2 linked regions of the Anolis sagrei genome follow. The protein of the gene in region 1 purifies or fractionates together with the protein of each later gene. This does not show direct contact. Links are inferred from orthologs where the notes say so. Each region holds a gene or a part of one and is shown in the gene's direction. Other genes may lie near its edges.

Region 1 (11,066 bases):
GTGGCAGGGCACAGCTAGTACACTATAAATATACAGAAGCCAGACAGAGAGAAAATGAAGAAAAGGAAGGGGGAAAAAATGAAAAGAAAAGGACGGACAAGGAGAAGGACAGAAACCATATATTAGTCGACCAAAGAGGCGGAGAAATAGAAAGATGAAGGAAGAGGAAAGGAAAGAAAAGGAAAAGACCTCCCTGAAGAAGAATCCTGGAAGTCAAGCGGATTGAAGAACGAAACATCTTGAATCTTTTCTTTTAACTGTCACTTTTACTACACTCATATATCCTTTTCCCTCTCTTCTTATTCTTTTTTTATCCTACCTACACGGCCTCACACCCTTCCCCTTCCCCTCCCCCCTCTCCCCTTCTTCCCTTCTTCTTTCTACCTCTGAACTTCCCCCCCCCCACCCCAATATCTCAATTGTTTGTATATATATGAAAATTGCAATAAATATATTTGAAAAAAAAGAGAGAGAGAGACTAGGACTCCATGGAACAATGGGTTCAAATTACCAGAAAGGAGATTCCACCTGAACACTAGGAAGAACTTCCTCACTGTTCAACAGAGGAACTTTCTGCCTTGGAGTGTGGTAGAAGCTCCCTGGAGTGTGGTAGAAGATGGAATGGCCCTCTGTTGGGGGTGCTTTGATTGTGCTTTCCCTGCATGGCAGATGGGGGTTGGACTGGATGACCTCCAAGGTCTCTTCTAAAACCGAAACGTGCAAACACTAACGTTTGATGTCTGAGTCGGGACACACACATAACGAGAGGCTGTCAACAATGGTGCTGCTGGGATGGAAAGACAAATCCAAGTGGACAGTAAATAAATACATTATTTCCAATGGAATTTAAAATCATGGATGTAAAATTAAATGATTCAGAATGTAATGAAAATAGAATGCAAGAAGCTGAAGAGAGATGGAAGCAGGTCAAGAATTATAATATGAATAAGTCTAGAGATCAGGGCATAAGAAATAGAAGACAAATGTTATACAGTATGTAAATCCAGAAGAATTGTCTCCAAAGGGATTAATATGTGAAAGAAAATAATCCTTGGGGTGGTGGTGGTGGGAATTGTAACGGTTGTGTTTGTGTGTGTCCTAAAATTAATTAATTAATTATATATATAGAGAGAGAGAGAGAGAGAGAGGTTGCTTACCTGTAAACATAGTTTCCCGAGTGGTAGCCTGTGAATTCACACATCCCCGCCCATACACACACACACACACACACACACACTAGCTGTCCCCTGCTACGCATTGCTGTGGTCCAGTCTGTGTATATGTTTTGTGTGTGTGTATATATTGTTGTTGTTCATTCGTTCAGTCGTCTCCGACTCTTCGTGACCTCATGTGTATATATATATATGTGTTTATGTGTGTGTATATATTTGTGTATGAGTGTATATATGTGTGTTTGCATAGATAGATAGATAGATAGATAGATAGATAGATAGATGGGTGTATATGTGTGTGTGTGCATATGTGTGTATACGTGTGTATATATTCGTGTATTTTTGTGTTTATATGTGTATATGTATATTGAGTATATGTGTGTGATTGTGTATATATATGTGTGTATGTATGTCTATATGTGAAAAAAAGTAATCCTTGTTGTTGTGGTGGTGGGAATTGTAACGGTTGTGTTTGTGTGTGTCCTAAAATTATATACACACACACACACACACACTAGCTGTCCCCTGCCACGCATTGCTGTGGTCCAGTCTGTGTATATGTTTTGTGTGTGTATATATATATGTGTGTTTATGTGTGTGTATATATTTGTGTATGAGTGTATATATGTGTGTTTGCATAGATAGATAGATAGATAGATAGATAGATAGATAGGTGTATATGTGTGTGTGTGCATATGTGTGTATACGTGTGTATATATTCGTGTATTTTTGTGTTTATATGTGTATATGTATATTGAGTATATGTGTGTGATTGTGTATATATATGTGTGTATGTATGTCTATATGTGTATGTGTGTATATGTATGTGTATATTTGTGTATGCTGGTGTATATATATGTGTGTGTATGTCTGTCTGTACGTATGTATGTGTGCATATGTATATGAATATGAGTGTATGTGTATATGTATATGTAGTTTATTTTGGGGGGTTTAAAGTCCGTTCTGCTGGGTATTTTGTGTGTTTTTAGGGGTGATGGACACTCATTGGCCTGATAGGTGTATTGTGTCCAAATTTGGTGTCAATTCATCCAGTGGTTTTTGAGTTATGTTAATCCCACAAACAAACATTACATTTATTGATTTATTTATTTATATTTATATTTATATATACACACACACACTAGCCGTTCCCTGCCACGCGTTGCTGTGGCCCACTCTGGTGGTCACGGGGGTTCTGTGTGGGAGGTTTGGCACAATTCTATCGTTGGTGGGGTTCAGAATGCTCTGTGGTTCTAGGTGAACTATAAATCCCAGCAACTGCAAATCCCAAATGTCGAGATTCTATTTTCCAGTGTTCACATTTGGGCATATTGAGTATTCATGTAGAGTTTGGTCCAGGTCCATCATTGTTTGAGTCCACAGTGCTCTCTGGATGTAGGTGAACTATAACTCCCAAACTCAAGGTCAATGCCCACCAAACCCTTCTAGTGTTTCTGTTGGTCATGGGAGTCCTGTGTGTCTATCTATGGCTGGATGGCTCTTTGTCAGGAGGGCTCTGATTACATTTTCTTTCCCTGGTGAAGAGAGTTGGACTGTTGGTCATGGGGGTTCTGTGTGGGAAATTTGCTCCAATTCTATCGTTGGTGAGACTCAGAATTGTAGGTGAACTATAAATCCCAGTTACTACAAATCCCAAATGTCAAGGTCTATTTTCCCCAAACTCCATCTGTGTTCATATTTGGGCATATGGAATATTTGTGCCAGTTTTGGTCCAGATCCATCATTGTTTGAGTCCACAGTTCTCTCTGGATGTAGGTGAACTACAACTCCCAAACTCAAGGTCAATGCCCACCAAACCCTTCCAGTATTTTCTGTTGGTCATGGGAGTTCTGTGTGCCAAGTTTGGTTCAATTCCATCCTTGGTGAAGTTCAGAATACTAGGACGCGGAACAATGGCTTCAAACTACAAGAGAGGAGATTCCATCTGAACATGAGGAAGAACTTCCTGACTGTGAGAGCCGTTCAGCAGTGGAACTCTCTGCCCCGGAGTGTGGCGGAGGCTCCTTCTTTGGAAGCTTTTAAGCAGAGGCTGGATGGCCATCTGTCAGGGGTGATTTGAATGCAATATTCCTGCTTCTTGGCAGAATGGGGTTGGACTGGATGGCCCATGAGGTCTCTTCCAACTCTTTGAGTCTATGATTCTATGATTGTTTGAGTCCACAGTGCTCTCTGGATGTAGGTGAACTACAACTCCCAAACTCAAGGTCAATGCCCACCAAACCCTTCCAGTATTTTCTGTTGGTCATGGGAGTTCTGTGTGCCAAGTTTGGTTCAATTCCATCCTTGGTGAAGTTCAGAATACTAGGACGCGGAACAATGGCTTCAAACTACAAGAGAGGAGATTCCATCTGAACATGAGGAAGAACTTCCTGACTGTGAGAGCCGTTCAGCAGTGGAACTCTCTGCCCCAGAGTGTGGTGGAGGCTCCTTCTTTGGAAGCTTTTAAACAGAGGCTGGATGGCCATTTGTCAGGGATGATTTGAATGCAATATTCCTGCTTCTTGGCAGGGGGTTGGACTGGATGGCCCATGAGGTCTCTTCCAACTCTTTGATTCTATGATTCTATGATTGTTTGAGTCCACAGCGCTCTCTGGATGTAGGTGAACTACAACTCCCAAACTCAAGGTCAATGCCCACCAAACCCTTCCAGTATTTTCTGTTGGTCATGGGAGTTCTGTGTGCCAAGTTTGGTTCAATTCCATCATTGGTGGAGTTCAGAATGCTCTGTGATTGTAAGTGAACTATAAATCCCAGCAACTGCAAATCCCAAATGTCGAGATTCTATTTTCCAGTGTTCACATTTGGGCATATTGAGTATTCATGTAGAGTTTGGTCCAGGTCCATCATTGTTTGAGTCCACAGTGCTCTCTGGATGTAGGTGAACTACAACTCCCAAACTCAAGGTCAATGCCCACCAAACCCTTCTAGTGTTTCTGTTGGTCATGGGAGTCCTGTGTGCCAAGTTTGGTTCAATTCCATCATTGGTGGAGTTCAGAATACTCTGTGATTGTAAGTGAACTATAAATCCCAGCAACTGCAAATCCCAAATGTCGAGATTCTATTTTCCAGTGTTCACATTTGGGCATATTGAGTATTCATGTAGAGTTTGGTCCAGGTCCGTCATTGTTTGAGTCCACAATGCTCTCTGGATGTAGGTGAACTACAACTCCCAAACTCAAGGTCAATGCCCACCAAACCCTTCCAGTATTTTCTGTTGGTCGTGGGAGTTCTGCGTGCCAAGTTTGGCTCAATTCCATCATTGGTGGAGTTCAGAATACTCTGTGATTGTAGGTGAACTATAAATCCCAGCAACTACAACTCCCAGAGGACAAAATCATAATTTTTTGAGTGATGGTCACTCCTTGTGTTGTGAGACATTTTGTTGCCAAATTTGGTGTGATTTCGTTCATTGGTTCTTTTGTTTTTAAGGCACTCATTATGCACAGAGCATCTATCTATCTATCTATCTACCTACCTACCTACCTACCTACCTACCTACCTACCTACCTACCTACCTACCTATCTATCTATCTATCTATCTATCTATCTATCTATCTATCTATCTATCTATCTATCTATCTATCTATCTATCTATCTATCTATCTATCTATCTATCTATCTATCTATCTATCTATCTATCTAATAGATTCTAAAGCACGGGGTGTCAGGGCGCTGCGATGGCGGTCCGTGGCCACCAGGGGCCGCTGCCGGGCAACCCAGTCTCGCCTATGCTGCGCCGAGGGGGCGTGGCCACTCCCTATCCCCGCCCACTTGGCCACGCCCCCTTTTCATCCTCCTCCTCCTCCTCTCGCTCTTTGCCTCAGAGGGAGCCGGAGGGGCGGCGGGAGAGAGAGAGAGAGGGAAAGATCGCCATCCATCCTTCCGTCCATCCAGCCATGGTGAGTGTTGAGGCCTACGCTGGAGTAGGGAAGCGGGAAGGAAGGGAGGACGGGTGAGAGTATGGTAGCTGGGTCGGGAAGCTCCGAGCGTTACGCACATTCCGCAACGGCGGTTGTGAATAAGGGAAGGGGAGAGCGGCAGGCCTGCCGCTCTCCCCTTCCCTTATTCACAACCGCCGTTGCGGAATGTGCGTAACGCTCGGCGCTTCCCGACCCAGCTACCATACTCTCACCCATCTCCTAGGATCCAGTTCAAACTGAGCTCAAACCACAAGGCCTACTAAACCTGACAGGATCAGGAACATCATATCTATATACACAAAAATGTGTAATGTTGGTTTGTGGGATTAACACAACTCAAAAACCACTGGATGAATTGCTCCCAAATTTGGACACAAGACACCTAACACCCCAATGTATGTCCTCCACTCAAAAAGAATTGATTTTGTCATTTGGGAGTTGTAGTTGCTGGGATGTATAGTTCACCTACAATCAAAGAGCATTCTGAACTCCACCAATGATGGAATTGAACCAAACATGGCATACAGAACTCCCACGACCAATAGAAAAAACTGGAAGGGTTTGGTGGGCAGTGTCCTTTGGTTTTGGAGTTGTAGTTCACCTACATCCACAGAGCACTGTGGACTCAAACAATGATGGAATTGGATCAAACTCTACACGAATACTCAATATGCCCAAATGGGAACACTGGTGGAGTTTGGGGAAAATAGAATCTTGACATTTGGGAGTTGTAGTTGCTGGGATTTGTAGTTCACCTATAAACAAACAGCATTCTGAACCCCAACCGGGGCATACAGGACTCCCATGACCAACAGAAACACTAGAAGGGTTTGGTGGGCATTGACCTTGGGTTTGGGAGTTGTAGTTCACCTATATCCAAAGACTACCATGGACTCAAACAACGATGGATCTGGACCAAACTTGGCACGAATATTCCATATGCCCAAATATGAACACAGATGGAGTTTGGGGGGAAATAGACCTTGCCATTTGTAGTTACTGGGATTCGCAGTTTACCTACAATCAAAGAGCATTCTGAACCCCACGAATGACAGAATCGGGGCAAAATTCCCACACAGAATCCCCCGTGACCAATCGGGGCACACAGGACTCCCATGACCAACAGAAACACTAGAAGGGTTTGGCAAGCATTGACCTTGAGTTTGGGAGTTGTAGTTCACCTACATCCAGAGACAACCATGGACTCAAACAACGATGGATCTGGACCAAACTTGGCACGAATATTACGTATGCCCAAATATGAACACAGATGGAGTTTGGGGGGAAATAGACCATTTGTAGTTACTGGGATTCGCAGTTCACCTACAATCAAAGAGCATTCTGAACCCCACGAACAACAGAATTCGGGCAAACTTCCCACACAGAATCCCCCATGACCAACAGAAAATGTTTAAGGCCATCCAGTCCAATTCCCTTCACCAGGGAAAGAAAATGTAATCAAAGCCCTCCTGACAAAGAGCCATCCAGCCATAGATATAGATAGATAGATATGATTCACACACAGAGAGATATAGATTTGAAAGGGACCCCTAAAGAAGGACAATGATATGTTGCATGTTCCAGAGTACGCAAACCAGACCATCTCCACATCAACACTGACAAACAAACAACAAGAAATACTGTTTACCCACAAGCATAAGGAAATTATATATATTAGAAGCCAACACTTTCTCATTACTTTATTTTCCAGATCACCAGGCTGGGCCACAGCAACGTGTGGCAGGGCACGGCTAGTCTATATAAATAAAAATGTAATGTTCATTTGTGGGATTAACACAACTCAAAAACCACTGGACGAATTGACACCAAGTTTGGACACAAGACACCAATTGGACGAATGAGTGACCATCACTCATAAAAACACTGAAAAACACAGCAGAAGAGACTTAGAAAGCCAAAACAAACAAAAATGCATTACAACGCATATGCAAAACCACATATATACAGAAATCACACATATATACAAATACACACACAAAACGTATATACACAGACTGAGCCACAGCAACGTGTGGCAGGGGACGGCTAGTAAACGTAATAATGGCGTCGCTAATTTGGGCCCAAGGAATGGAGCAACAAGAGGGGGCTTGCCCTCAAATGTCCCACTTGGCCCGCTTTCGGGCTCCTCTTTGCACCCAAATGGCACAGGTTGGCGCACCCTCCTCCTCCCAGGTTTCCATATTGTGCTTCCAGTCTTTTTTCTCTACTTTATGGCAGACAAGTCTTGCGATACATGTCAAACAATCCTGAAACATTGGAAGGCTATGATTTCAGCACCTTTTCAGGCTGGGGACCCCCCAGGGGTGGATGGAGCATCCCTCTGAAAAGATGGCCAGGCTGACCCCAAGTTGCCAACATGAGAGGCTCACTCGGTTTGCACTTATGTAAGTCAGAACATGGACATGTTATCAGTGTAACCCCACTTACTTACTTACTTACTTGTCTAAGTAGAATAATCCTCCAGGGTGGATCCGTAGGTGACCGTGGAGCCCTATTCTTGATCTGCATCTTCTCCCTCAGTGAGGGCATCGGTTTCCAGGTGGAAGGCGGTCCCGGTCGGGGTTGGCTTGACGTGCCTTCCTCTTGGCACGTTTTTCTCTTTCGCACTCCATTCGTGTCTCTTCAAATTCTGCAGCACTGCTGGTCACAGCTGACCTCCAGCTGGAGTGCTCAAGGGCCAGGGCTTCCCAGGTCTCAGTGTCTATGCTGAAGGTTTTAAGGTTGGCTTTGAGCCCATCTTTCAGTCTCTTTTCCTGCCCACCAACATTCCGTTTTCCGTTCTTGAGTTTGGAGTACAGCAACTGCTTTGGGAGACGGTGGTTGGGCATTCGGACAACATGGCCAGTCCAGCGGAGTTGATGGCGGAGGACCATCACTTCAGTGCTGGTGGTCTTCGCTTCTTCCAGCACGCTGACATTTGTCCGCTTGTCTTCCCAAGAGATTTGCAGGATTTTCCGGAGGCAGCGCTGATGGAATCGTTCCAGGAGTTGCATGTGACGTCTGTAGACAGTCCATGTCTCGTAGGCGTATAGCAGGGTTGGGAGGACAATAACTTTATAAACAAGCACCTTGGTATCCCTACAGATGTCCCGGTCCTCAAACACTCCCTGCTTCATTCGGAAAAATGCTGCATTCACAGAGCTCAGGCGGTGTTGTATTTCGGTGTCGATGTTGACTTTGGTGGAGAGGTGGCTGCCCAGGTAGCGGAAATGGTCAACATTTTCTAATGTTACACCATTAAGCTATATCTCTGGCATTGGAGAGGGATTGGCCGGTGACTGCTGGAAGAGCAATTTGGTTTTCTTGATGTTCAATGACAGGCCAAGCTTCTCGTATGCTTCTGCAAAGGTATTTAGAGTGATTTGTAGGTCTTCTTCTGAATGCGCACAGATGACATTGTCATCAGCATACTGGAGTTCTATAATAGATGTTGTTGTAACCTTGGTTTTGGCTTTCAGTCTGCTGAGGTTAAATAGCTTCTGTCCGATAGATGATTTCCACTCTGGTGGGAAGCTTCTCATCAACAAGATGAAGTATCATAGTGATGAAGATGGAAAATAAGGTTGGGGCAATAACACATCCCTGTTTGACACCTGATTCCACCTTAAATGGGTCCCTTTGGGAGCCATTGCTGTCCCAGACTGATGCCATCATGTCATCATGGAGGAGCCGCAGGATGTTCACAAATTTGTTATCTACCTATCTATCTATCTATCTTTAAGCTTTGGATCTCCTAGGAGTGACCGCCCCGGTGGGGTTTCCTTTGCTGCCAGTGCTCCTGTTTGGAGGAAGGATTCCACCTCACTTTCTGTCCCTGCAAGAATGGGTTTTTGAACATTTTGGCTTGTTGTGCACACAGATTGGGGGTGAAGCTCCAGTGGAAGTGAGGTTCCTATCACTTCCGATTCTTCTTCACAGTGAGTTGTTTGTAAGTCAGATGTTTGTAACTTGGGAAGGCCTATATTTATATATAATAAATACTATATAATTATATCATACTAGCTGTCCCCTGCCAGGCGTTGCTGTGGCCCAGTCTGGTGATCTGGAAAATAAAGTAATGAGAAAGTGTTGGTTTCTAATATAAGTAATTTCTTTGTGCTTGTGGGTAAACAGTATTTATTGTTGTTTCTTTGTCAGTGTTGATGTGGAGAGTGTCTAGTTTGCCTACTCTGGAACATGCAACATATCATTGTCCTTCTCTAGGAGTCCCTTTCAAATCTATGATGCTATATCTGTGTGTGTGTGTGAATCATATCTATCTATCTATATCTATATCTATGGCTGGATGGCTCTTTGTCAGGAGAGCTCTGATTACATTTTCTTTCCCTGGTGAAGAGTTGGACTGTTGGTCATGGGGGTTCTGTGTGGAAAATTTGCCCCAATTCTGTCGTTTGTGTTATTCAGAATTGTAGGTGAACTATAAATCCCAGTAACTACAAATCCCAAATGTCAAGGTCTATTTCCCCCAAACTCCATCTGTGTTCATATTTGGCCATTTGGAATATTTGTGCCAAGTTTGGTCCAGCTCCATCATTGTTTGAGTCCACAGTGCTCTCTGGATGTAGGTGAACTACAACTCCCAAACTCAAGGTCAAAGCCCACCAAACCCTTCTCGTGTTTTCTGTTGGTCATGGGAGTCCTGTGTGCTAAGTTTGGTTCAATTCCATCGTTGGTGGAGTTCAGAATGCTCTTTGATTGTAGGTGAACTATAAATCCTAGCAACTACAAATCCCAAATGTCAAGGTCTATTTCCCCCAAACTCCATCTGTGTTCATATTTGGGCATATGGAATATTTGTGCCAAGTTTGGTCCAGATCCATCATTGTTTGAGTCCACAGTGCTCTCTGGATGTAGGTGAACTACAACTCCTAAACTCAAGGTCAATGCCCACCAAACCCTTCTAGTGTTTTCTGTTGGTCATGGGAGTCCTGTGTGCCATGTTTGGTTCAATGCCATAATTGGTGGAGTTCAGGATTCTCTTTGATTGTAGGTGAACTATAAATCCCAGCAACTACAACTCCCAAGTGACAAAATCAATTTTTTTGAGTGAAGGACATACATTGGGGTGTTAGGTGTCTTGTGTCTAAATTTAGTGTCAATTTGTCCAGTGGTTTTTGAGTTATGTTAATCCCACAAACGAACATTACATTTTTATTTATATAGATAATATAATAATGATGCTAATAATATATGACATTCCTCTCACTTCCTGTTGTCTCAGCCCTGTTGTTCTTAACTAGGAGTCATTTGCAAGTTGGGTGTTTGTAACTCAGGATTGGCCTTTATATATACAAAATAGTAATATAATAATAATAATAATAATAATAATATGATCTTACAAGAATAATACAAATCATATACTATATATACTCGAGTATAAGCCTAGTTTTTCAGCTTCTTTTTTAGGGTGAAAAAGCTCCCCTCGGCTTGTACTCGAGTCAAGGTTATTTATTATTTTATCATGATTTCTATTACATTTATTATTTTCTCTATTTAATATTATTATTACATTTACATTATTTTACTCTTATTATTTTGTTTACATTTTTATTTTACTCTTATTTATTGTTACTTTTTCATTTGTTATTTTTCTCTAGTCATGTTTTTATTACATCTATTATATTACTCTATTATTATTGCTATTACATTTATTATTTTACTCTTATTGTTACATTTACATTATTTTACTCTATTATTGTTGTTATTACATTTATTATTTCACTCCATGAATTATTGTTATTACGTTTATTATTTTACTCCATGTATTGTTATTATTACATTTACTATTTTACTCTATTTTTATCATTACATTTGTTATTTTACTCTATTATAACTGTTATTATTACATTTCCATTATTTTACTCTATTATTATTATTTATACTACATTTATTATTTAGTATATTATTAATATATAATTATTATATTTAGTAT
Region 2 (11,066 bases), on another chromosome or scaffold:
ACATTTTTTTGCTGGGTTTATCATGTGTATCTTATTTTCATATGCCAAACATGAACAGTCAATAAACAATGTATGTTATGCTTTCATGGATATGGTTTTATTTCCTATTGGTAATCCAGAATCCTATTACCGTATTGCCTGATAGGGTCAGACCCCAGCATTCTTACATTATTTTATGGTTTCCTTGCTTGATTTTCTTTTGTTTTGTGGCACATTGTAAATCACTTTGGAATTTCTGGGTTGTTGTAGGTTTTTTTGGGCTATATGGCCATGTTCTAGAGCAGTGGTTCTCAATCTGGGGTCCCCAGATGTTTTTGACCTACAACTCCCAGAAATCCCAGCCAGTTTACCAGCTGTTAGGATTTCGGGGAGTTGAAGGCCAAAAACATCTGGGGACCCCAGGTTGAGAATCTTCAGAGGTTGTGAGGTCAGACCCCAGGTTGAGAATCACTGTTCTAGAGGCATTCTCTCCTGAGGTCTGACCTCACAACCTCTGAAGATGCCTGCCATAGATGCAGGTGAAAGATCAGGAGATAATGCCTCTAGAACATGGCCATATAGCCCAAAAAAACCAACAACAACCCAGTGATTCCAGCCATGAAAGCTTTCAACAATACACTTTGGAATCTTTTGGAATAAAACGCTTTATGGAAAAATCTATATAAATAAATCGGACATAGATAAGAGAGGCCAGATAGCAGTCTGGTAGCTCTTATCCATGTCTGAGGATAAGAGATACAGGATATGATGTAGGTTGAAAAAATAAAGTGAAAAAAGATGGGAAAAAATATACCCCACATTCAATTATTGATAAAAACTTAGCATATAAAGGAAAGCAGTATTGTAGATTATGTTCACACTCACCCTCCAAGTCCAATGACCAAGATTTTCATAGTTCCTTTTTAATCTAAAAAATTAAATTGAGAGGATTGTGTGTTAGGAACAAATATTTTTTTTCCACAATCTATTTTTGATAGACTGCAAAAGTAAAGTAAAATTAGACATAATATGTAATTCATATCCAAAAATCCCACTTGTAAATATTTGCTGGGAAGGTTATATCTATTTGCAAGTTTCTTTGTTGCCCGTGTATTTGCAAAAGCCTTTTTCTCCCACCCTGTGCCATGTCTGCCGAATCTTAAACTAACACAAAGCCTTCATTTATAGGAGGTTCACCATCAGAAATCGAAATATACAAACCATTTTACATTGTAGGTTGCCCGGATTACAAAATAGAAGCAGCTCAGTAAGGCATTATTTAAACAAGCATTACACATAAAATATGGCACACACACCCCAATAGTTATTGAAGTATCACAGACATAGAGTATACTAGGGACAAGGTATGCAGCACATGTACTTGTTGTGATATCATACATTTTATTACTAAACATTTCAGGGCCCACATCTGTGAGTGTATCTACACTGTATGATTAATGCAGTTTGCCCCCACATGAACTGCCATGGTTCAATGCAATGGAGTCATGGAAATTGTACTTTCACAAGATCTTTAGCTTTCTCTGGCAAAGAGTGCTGGGACCTCAGCAAACTACAATCCCCGTGATTCCATAGCATTGAGTCATAGCAGTTCAAGTAATGTCAAACTGCATTAATTCTACAATGTGGAACGTGTTGTTTAGATACAGATGCAAACTATTAGTGCAAATGAAAAATATTAATATAACCGAAATGAGAAATATAAATGTAATTCACTAGGGCAGTGGTTCTCAACCTGTGGGTCCCCAGGTGTTTTGGCCTACAACTCCCAGAAATACCAGCCAGTTTACCAGATGTTAGGATTTCTGGGAGCTGAAGGCCAAAACATCTGGGGACCCACAGGTTGAGAACCACTGCACTAGTGAAAGAGTTGCTGCTGAGCTATTTATCAACCAAAAGATAAAAGCCTCTGGACTCTGTTACGTAAATTCTGGTGCAATTTAAAAGTTTCAGTCACCAGAGCAGAAAGCCAAGACAAACTAGCAAACACTAAAGAGGGACATTGTGTGTATGTGCCTTCAAGTCCCCTCTTGACTTATGACGATCCTATTAATTTCACAGAGCTTTCTTTGGCAAGGAATACTCAGGGATGGTTTTGCCATTACATACAATGAAAAGACACCCTGGAGTTATATTCTGTACCTTTGTCTGTTATAGACATTGAGTTTGATTCTTCTTTAACTATGAAATATTTCAAAAGGACCATCACAAAATAAATAGAATAAAAATGCCATTTATGACTTCCACTGAGTTATGACCAAATTATATTGATACACAATTTAAGACAATGCTTTGTTACAAATTACAATTATAGCTTTCTTGTGTAGGGTCCTGTGGCAATTCAACATCATGAGGTAGCCCAATCCTTACCACACTTTTAAAAAGGCCACAGTAGATTCACTAGTTATTAGGGTGTATCTATACTATAGGTAAAGGTAAAGGTTTTCCCCTGACATTAAGTCCAGTCGTGTCCGGCTCTGGGGGTTGGTGCTCATCTCCTAAGCCGAAGAGCTGGCGTTGTCCGTAGACACCACCAAGGTCATGTGGCCAGCATGACTGCCTGGAGCACCGTTACCTTCCTGCTGGAGCGATACCTATCTATCTACTCACATTTGCATGTTTTCAAACTGCTAGGTTGGCAGAAGCTGGGGCTGACAGCGGAAGCTCACGCCGCTCCCCGCATTCGAACCTGCAACCTTTCGGTCAACAAATTTAGCAGCTCAGCAGTTTAACCCACTGTGCCACCAGGGGCTATCTATACTATAGATATCTATACTCTAGAACCTATATAAACTAGAGAATTAATGCAGTTTGACACCATTTTATCTGACATAGTTCAATGCTATGGAATCCTGGGAGTTGTAAATTGGTGGGGCTTAGAGTGCTTTGTCAGGGATGTTGAAGAGCCTTGCAAAAATAAAACCCCCAGAGCTCCAGAATTGAGCCATAGCAATTAAACTGGGATTAAACTGCATTAATTCTAGAGTGTAGATGAATCCCTAGTCCATCTACACGACCTATTTCAAAATATTACCATTATCTTTTAGAGCAAAGCTCTTATGCAACCAGCAAACATCAAAGCAATCCAAGAACTGCACCCACTTACCTTCCTTCTTCGAACAAAAAGTGCAAAAAACCACAATAAAGACACCAGGGTCTCCTCTGCCTGTCACTCACAAGCCACGCCCCCTTCTTCTCCAACCCCGTTAGAGAAAGCACCGTCGACCCCGCCCACCAAGGAAAGGGGAGGTGGGCAGTCCTATGCAAATTTGCTACATATAAGCTCCGCCCCTTTCTCCTACACCCCAATAGAGAAGCAAGGCACGATGCGAGGACGTTCTATGCAAATAGGGTATATTCAAGCCCCGCCCCTTCCTCCTCTAACCCGTTACAGAAGCACCATCGGTCTCCCACTCCCAGGAAAGGGGCGGAGCATATGTAAATACACCCACTCCCATAGGCCAAGTCTCTCAAGTCCGAGGGTGTCGCCACGCCCCCTATTCGGGATTGGCTGGGCGCTAAGTCGGGAGAGCTGCCCTGGGCAAGAGTCTTTCCCAATGCCTGCGGTGCCCAAGAGCGGCCACTGGGGGCGCAGCGAGCAGCATCTGCTTCGCAGTGGCGACGCTTCCCACTTCCTCATCTTCGCGAAAAGTAACTTGTGAGCCTTTCGGGGCGGTGGGCGAGGCGATCCCTGCAGGAGGAAGCAAGCTCGATCGACCCACATCCAAAAGGCTTGGAAGGCTCGCCGATCCGACCCAGCTATGTCCAAGCCGCCGCCTAAACCGGCCAAACCAGGTAAAGGGGGGAGATCTAAGCTTTTGAGCCAGGAAAGGGGGAGATCTACACTGTGGAACGAATGCAGTTTGGCATCACTTCCTCGGAGTTGTAGTGAGGCACCAGCACTCTTGGGCAGAGAAGGCTGGAGACCTTGTGGGACTACAACTCCCAGGATTCCATAGCCTTGGGCAGTGTGGCAGTTCAGCATTCGTTTCAACCTTGACGGAAGACTCGCAGGAGAGCGTGAGAAGAAGGGGAAGATCCACCTTGACACGTGGATCACTTTTCCCCCTTCGGAAAAGCATTGCCTTCCTTTCCCTCCACTCCCTGCAGCGTCAGCATACGCTTGGCACGCGAATTAGCACAGAGCCCGGGGCTGAGAGAGTGTGACTTGCTGAGCCAGGATTCGCACCCAGCACTCTCGACTCCAACCACGGTGGCAGCGTAGCTCCTGGGTTGTTGTGAGTTTTGAGGGCTGTATGGCTATGTCCCAGAAGCATTCTCTCCTGACGTTTCGCCTGCATCTATGTCAGGCATCCTCAGAGGTTGTGAGGTCTGTTGGAAACCAGGTTTGTATCTCTTTGGAATGTCCAGGGTGGGAGAAAGAACTCTTGCCTGATTGAGGCTACTGTGGATGTTGCAACTGGCCACTTTGATTAGCACTGAATAGCCTTGCAGCTTCAAAGCCTGGCCGCTTCTTGCCTGGGGGAATCCTTTGTTGGGAGGTGTTAACTGGCCTTGATTGTTTCCTGTATGGAATTCCCCTATTTTCTTAGTGTTCTTTATTTACTGTCCTATTTTAGAGTTTTTTTAAATACCGGTAGCCAGATTTTGTTCATATTCATGGTGTCCTCTTTTCTGTTGAAATTGTCCTCATGCTTGTGGATTTCAGTGGCTTCTCTGTGTGGCCTGACATGGTGGTTGTTACAGTGGTTCAGCAATTCAGTGTTCTCAGATACTATGTTGTGTCCAGGTTGGTTCATCAAGTGTTCTGCTATGGTTGGCTTCTCTGGTTCAATCAGTCTGCAGTGCCTTTCAGTTATTGTCATTTTTATTGAAATAAGAAACAATCAGGGCCAGCTAATCACCTCCCAACAAAGGATTCCCCCAGGCAGGAAGAAGCCAGACCTTGAAACTGCTAGGCCATTAAATGCTAATCAAGGTGGCCAATTACAACATTCACACCTGCCTCAAACAGACAAGAGTTATTTCTCCCACCCTGGACATTGCAGAGATATACAAACCCAATTTTCTTAGTTTCCAACAGACCTCACAGCCTCTGAGCCTTCCACAGATGTAGGCGAAACGTCAGAAGAGAATGCTTCTGGGCCATGGCCATACAGCCCGGAAAACACAGCAACTCAGTGATTCCGGCCATGAAAGTCTTCGATAATACAGCATGGCTCCTGTTTCCTAGAATCTAAAAAAAATCTAACTTGATTTACTCTTGTCCCAAGTCTGTTTTTAAGAGACTTGGAGCTGATAACACTGTAGAATGAACGCAGTTTGTTTGACATTCCCTTTAACTGCCATGGCTCAATGCTATGGAATCATGGGATCTGTAGTTTGGCAGAGAAGGCTGAAGAGGCCTTGGTAAACTACAACTCCCAAGATTCCGTAGCACTGAGCCAAGGCAGTCAAAGTAGTGCCAGGCTGTATTCAGTGGACAGTGTAGACGCGCCCATTGAAAGAGAGAGACAAGAGAGATAGAGAGAGGTAACCCGAAGCCTTCCTCCCTGATCCGGGGTGTGGCCGGCAGCGGCAGGGATCGATCGCGGAGCAGGAAGTGCGGTGCAGACTGCACCAAATGCTCCCTTTCTTCGCCTTCCGCCCGCAGAGCTGAGAGAGAGGGTGATCGATCCAATGGGATCTTCTTACAAACGCTGCTGCGGTTGGTGGCAGCAGTGACTTGGGAGAATTTGTTTTGGTGCATCTTTGAAGGTGCCAAAGCCTTAGGGTGTATCTAAACCAGGCATGGGCAAACGTGGGCCCTCCAGGTGTTTTGGACTCTAACTCCCAAAAGTTGGGATTCACCCAGGCAGGAAGCAGCCAGGCTTTGAAGTTGCAAAGCTATTCAGTGCGAATCAAGATGGCCAATTGCAACATTCACAGTTGTCTCAATCAGACAAGAGTTCTATCTCCCACCCTGGACATTCCACAGATATATAAACCCAATTTCCTTAGTTTCCAACAGACCTCACAACCTCTGAGGATGCCTGCCATAGATGCAGGCGAAATGTCAGGTGAGAATGCTTCTGGAACATAGCCATACAGCCCGGAAAAACCAGCTGTTAGGAATTGTGGGAGTTGGAGTCCAAAACACCTGGAGGACCAAGTGTCCCCATGCCTGATCAAAACTGTAGGATTAATGCAGTTTAATGCCACCGTTAACAGCCATGGCTCCATGCTATGGAATCCTGGGAGTTGCAGTTTGATGAAGTACAAGCACTCTTCGGCAGAGAAGGCTAATCACTGTAAAACTACTGCCATCTCTTAGCATCAAGCAATGGCAGATTTTCAAAATCATATCATAAGCGACTTGAGAAACTGCAAGTTGCTTTTCATGTCAGCAGAGATGTTGCTCAGGGGACGCCCAGATGTGTTACCATCCTGTGGGAGGCTTCTCTCAGGTCCTCGCATGGGAAGCTGGAGCTGACAGACAGGAGCTCGTCTTCAGGTCAGCAGTTCAGCCAGATTTCAACTCCCACAATTCCTAGCAGCATGGGCAAACTAGGGTCCTCCAGGTGTTTTGGACTCCCAACTCCTACAATTCCTAGCAGCCATTAGGCTGTTAAGAATTGTGGGAGTGGAAGTCCACAACACCTGGAGGGCCGAAATTTGCCCATGCCTGGGTTAACCCATTGCACCACCGCGGCTTCCACCACCATGGCAGTCAAAGTGGTGTCAAACTGCATTCATTCTTCAATGGAGATGCATCCGTAGATACCAACAGACACCACCCTGGATACGTCTTCTGAGGCTTAAGGTGCACCTTAAGGTCTAACTGATATCTAATAGGAGCTACAGTCTAACAGTTGACACCCCAAAAGCTGGACTTTACCTCTCCTTGCCTCAACATCTAATATGTTTGATTTAGAATACAACCCACTGTCTCATGGGCGGTTGCCTGGCATCCTTGTTGTTCAGAGTGGAGCCATGTGTAGCATAAAGAGTGTGTGGACTGAGTCAGGTGATGCCATTAGAGGGGCCACAACCAAAAATATCTAAATTTTGTGCAGTGTTTCAGCCTTTGTTTGTTTTTTGTTTTTTGTTTTTTAAATCCCTGTAGCACAATATAACACAAAGTAGTGTTCCCTCGCTACTTTGTGGTTCGCTTTTTTGTGGACTCACTGTTTTGCGGGTTTTTGCCTCCTGGCAACGATGGAGTGTGGAAGGCGGTTTCACCCTCCCCCTCGGGGGAGAGACAGCCAATCATAAAAAAAGAGAGAGAGGCACGGCCTTATAGCCCCTTATAGCTAACAAAGAAAAAAGAAAAAAAGAAGTGTGCGGTTCCTTTAAATCTCTCCTTGCTTCTACCTCACCCTCAGAATGCGATATATATAGATATATATAGCGCATCCCTATCTTGCAGATTTTCACTTTTTGCGGGTGGTCCTGAAACATAACTCCCGCGATAAATGAGGGAACACTGTAACCTCAAAAACAACTGTGTATGTCCAGTTTAAAGGTAAAGGTTACTGCTTGACATTAATTCTGTCATGTCTAACTCTGGGGGGTAGTACTCATCTCCATTTCTAAGGAATGCAGTTACCTTTCTGCCAAACATATTGCTCTATTCACATTTGCATGTTTTTGAACTGCTAAGTTGGCAGAAGCTGGGGCTAACAGTGAAAATTCACCCAGCTCCCCAGATTCAACCCGCTGACCTTTTGGTCAGCAAGTTCAGCAGCTCAGCAGTTTAACCCACTGAACCACCAGAGGCTTCAATTTATATCCTTTATCCAGCATTCTGAATCCAGTAGGCTCTCAGGCTGCTTCTATTCAGCCACATACTAATAGTAATAGTAATAGTAATAATAATAATAATAATAATAATAATAATAATCAACTTTATTTATACCCCGCCACCATCTCCCTGATGGGGACTCGGAGCGGCTTACATGAGGCCAAGCCCAACAACACAATACAATAAATGATGTCAAAACACACACAATAACGTGATAAATTACATGAAACATAAAAATACAACAAACAATTTAAAATTAAAATCAATCATAACGCAGTGATTGTGACAGTGACAGTGAATGGGCCGAATGTACAGAATAAAATACTAAAGCTAAAAACTAAAAACATGGGGTGATATAGGGATGGAGCCGATTATTTGTGAAAGAGAAAATCTTCGGAAATGAGGTCAAGAAGGATCAGAATGTGGATTAAAGAAATCCAGTCTCCACATGGACCTTCAGGAACCGCAAAAAAGTTCCCACATAGTCACAAGGCTCCCCTCGTACCAAATTGATCAAGAGGAATATTTTTTTCCCCTTACCTGGTTGGAAGAAATGAACCAATTGCAGCAGCTCTTTGGATGAGAATCAGAAGTAGAACTCACCTTTTAGCTAAAAAAAAAAAAAAAAGGGGGGGGGGGGAGAGGTGTTCATTTACCTCACTGAGAGCATCATATCCAGTTCCTTCATTTGAATTTTCCAGTAGTGCTTCTGTTTACATAAGTGCTGCGCATGTTGCTCTAGAATGTTTGCTCTGCCACATCCATTCACTGATCAACTGCAGTGAACCGTAGTGATGCAATGGGTTAAACCCTTGTTCCAGCTGAACTGCTGAACTGAAGGTCCACGGTTCGAATCCGGGGAGTGAGGTGAGCTCTTGTCTGTCAGCTCCAGCTTCCCATGCATGGACATGACTGAAGCCTCCCACAGGATGGTAACACATCCAGGCGTCCCCTGGGCAACGTCATTGCAGATGGCCAATTCTCTCACACCAGAAACTACTTGCATTTAATCTCAAATCACTTCTGACACAATAAAGCTACAGTACATTTTATCACTGATTTCGGACTTTCTCCTGACTTTTTAAAGCACGTGTTTTTTGTTTGGATGTGCTCTGCAGCACACATTAGGAGCTTGTGTTTTCTATTTATTTTTATTTATTTGAAACATTTATATTCCGGCCTTCTCACCCCGCAGGGGACTCAGTGTGGAGTACACTCGTATATACAGCAAACATTCAATGCCGGAACATAAAACCATAAATGTATACAAACATTAAAATCACTTATATCCACTTTAAAATAAGTTGCTTTAAAACCATCTCAGGACACCATTCTATTATTGCCTCACTGCATTGCCCCAAAGGCTTGCGCCCACAGCCAGGTCTAGTCCCCTCCCCTCCAATAATCCACATCATCCTGGATTTTACAGCATATGTATATGGTCCCTTAGTTAACCACAGTACAAACTATGCATCAAATTAGACAGATATGCGTTTCCCCAAACTTTCCATGCATCCTATGATGTGCCAACGCAGGCTATGATTGCAAAATTCTTTAGTATTTGTTCAACATTTGATGCATTTTTAAAGCATTATTTTTAAAAAAAATACAAAATACATATAAATCTGTTATACAAAGTACACTACAAAGAATTTATTCATATGTTTCCTCCGAAATGCACAGTTGAAAATCCCATTTCCTTATTCAAAGTGAGAATGCCCTCTTTCTGCTAGTGCTTCAGCTCACTTTCTCCTTCTGACCCTGAAGTATAGGTACCATGTGTTGCCCTACTCCTGAGTTTACTTTTTTGGACTACAGGCAGTCCCCGAATTACAAACATTCAGCTTACAAAAGACAGCAGGAAGTGAGAGAAATCTAATCTACCCCTTGGAAGGGAAATTCACTCCTGAAAGACTTATCATGGAGGAAAGGGTGTCTCAACTGAAGCTTTCTCACCAATCCTTGTTTCCACAACTAGCCAAATGTTTCAAAATCCAAATATCACAGGGACATAAAGTGAGATGAAATCTTCTGAACAGGGGCACAGACAGCAAAACAAACTCCACAAGGGTGTTAACTAACCCCTATGCTATTCAAAGCTTATCTATATCTTATCTATAAAGTAAAGGTAAAGGTTTCCCCTTGACCTTAAGTCTTGTTGTTGTTCATTCATTCAGTCGTTTCCGACTCTTTGTGACTTCATGGACCAGCCCACGCCAGAACTCCCTGTCGGCCATTACCACCCCCAGCTCCTTCAAGGTCAATCCAGTCACTTCAAGGATGCCATCCATCCATCTTGCCCTTGGTCGGCCTCTCTTCCTTTTTCCTTCCATTTCCCCAGCATAATTGTTACTTTCCCACTGAAGTGGTGCCTATTAATGTCACATGTGCATATTTTCAAACTGCTAGGTTTGTATAAGCTGGGGCTAGTAGCGGGAACTTCCTGGATTTGAACCGCTGACTTTTTGGTCCACAAGTTCAGCAGCTCACTTTAACCCACAGTGCCACCAGGGGCTCTGATCTATATGTATATCTATATCTATATATCTATATCTATATCTATATCTAACTTGTCATACTGTTGGAGGGCCGGATTATAATTTTAAAAAAACATGAATGAATTCCTTTGCACACGGAACATATCTTTTTTATTGCTTTAGTGTTTTTTGCACTACAAAAAAGATATGTTCCGTGTGCAAAGGAATTCATTCATGTTTTTAAAAAATTATAATCCGGCCCTCCAACAGTATGAGGGGCTGTCACCTCTGTTTAAAATGTTTGAGGACCCCTGGTGTAGACAGTCATGAAACCCGCATAATGCCTGATATATACACTAGTTTATATATCTAAAAAAGCACCCACAATTCTAAGGTACATCCTGTTCTAGAGATGTTTATATGGGGGAAAATTGTGTTGGTGGCTGGATCTACATTGCTATGTAATGCAGTTTTGAAATGCAGATTAACTGCATTGAACTGGATTATGTGAGGCCTCTTCTACACTGCCATATAATCAGATTATCGAAATAGTTTTCTTTGAACTGGATTATATGAGTCTACACTGCCATATATTCCAGTTCAAAACACATAATATGGATGTTATATGGCAGTGTAGAAGGGACCTGAGTCTACATTGCCAAATAATGATGTTGCCAGTTGTTTATGTTTTTAGTAGGGCTGGGCGGTTTCGTTGGTTAATTTTGTAATTCGTTAATTATTCGTTATTTTTTTTATTTACAAAATGATTTCAAAACTTATTTTCAAACCCGGAAGTGTTTTTTAATAGCGAAACAGCATCTTCCATCTTTTTTACGAGCTTCCGCCCG

Evidence for each region. Proteins that work in one complex are often made in the same cells at the same time.
Region 2: the proteins of MYO1E (region 1) and OSTF1 purify together in Homo sapiens (co-immunoprecipitation; 3 studies listed by BioGRID and IntAct, counting the BioPlex papers as one, with this or other methods). This does not show direct contact. The link is inferred for Anolis sagrei from reciprocal best matches to the Homo sapiens genes MYO1E and OSTF1.

What each region holds. Positions count from the first base shown.
Region 1 is NC_090029.1:12,002,201-12,013,266, forward strand, and holds the start of MYO1E (unconventional myosin-Ie), read left to right. Parts: upstream 1-4,977; 5' UTR 4,978-5,089; coding exon 5,090-5,092; intron 5,093-11,066. UniProt on the Homo sapiens protein: Actin-based motor molecule with ATPase activity. Unconventional myosins serve in intracellular movements. Their highly divergent tails bind to membranous compartments, which are then moved relative to actin filaments.
Region 2 is NC_090022.1:224,610,049-224,621,114, forward strand, and holds the start of OSTF1 (osteoclast-stimulating factor 1), read left to right. Parts: upstream 1-3,527; 5' UTR 3,528-3,758; coding exon 3,759-3,792; intron 3,793-11,066. Other genes in the region: NMRK1 (nicotinamide riboside kinase 1), read right to left, coding at 865-893.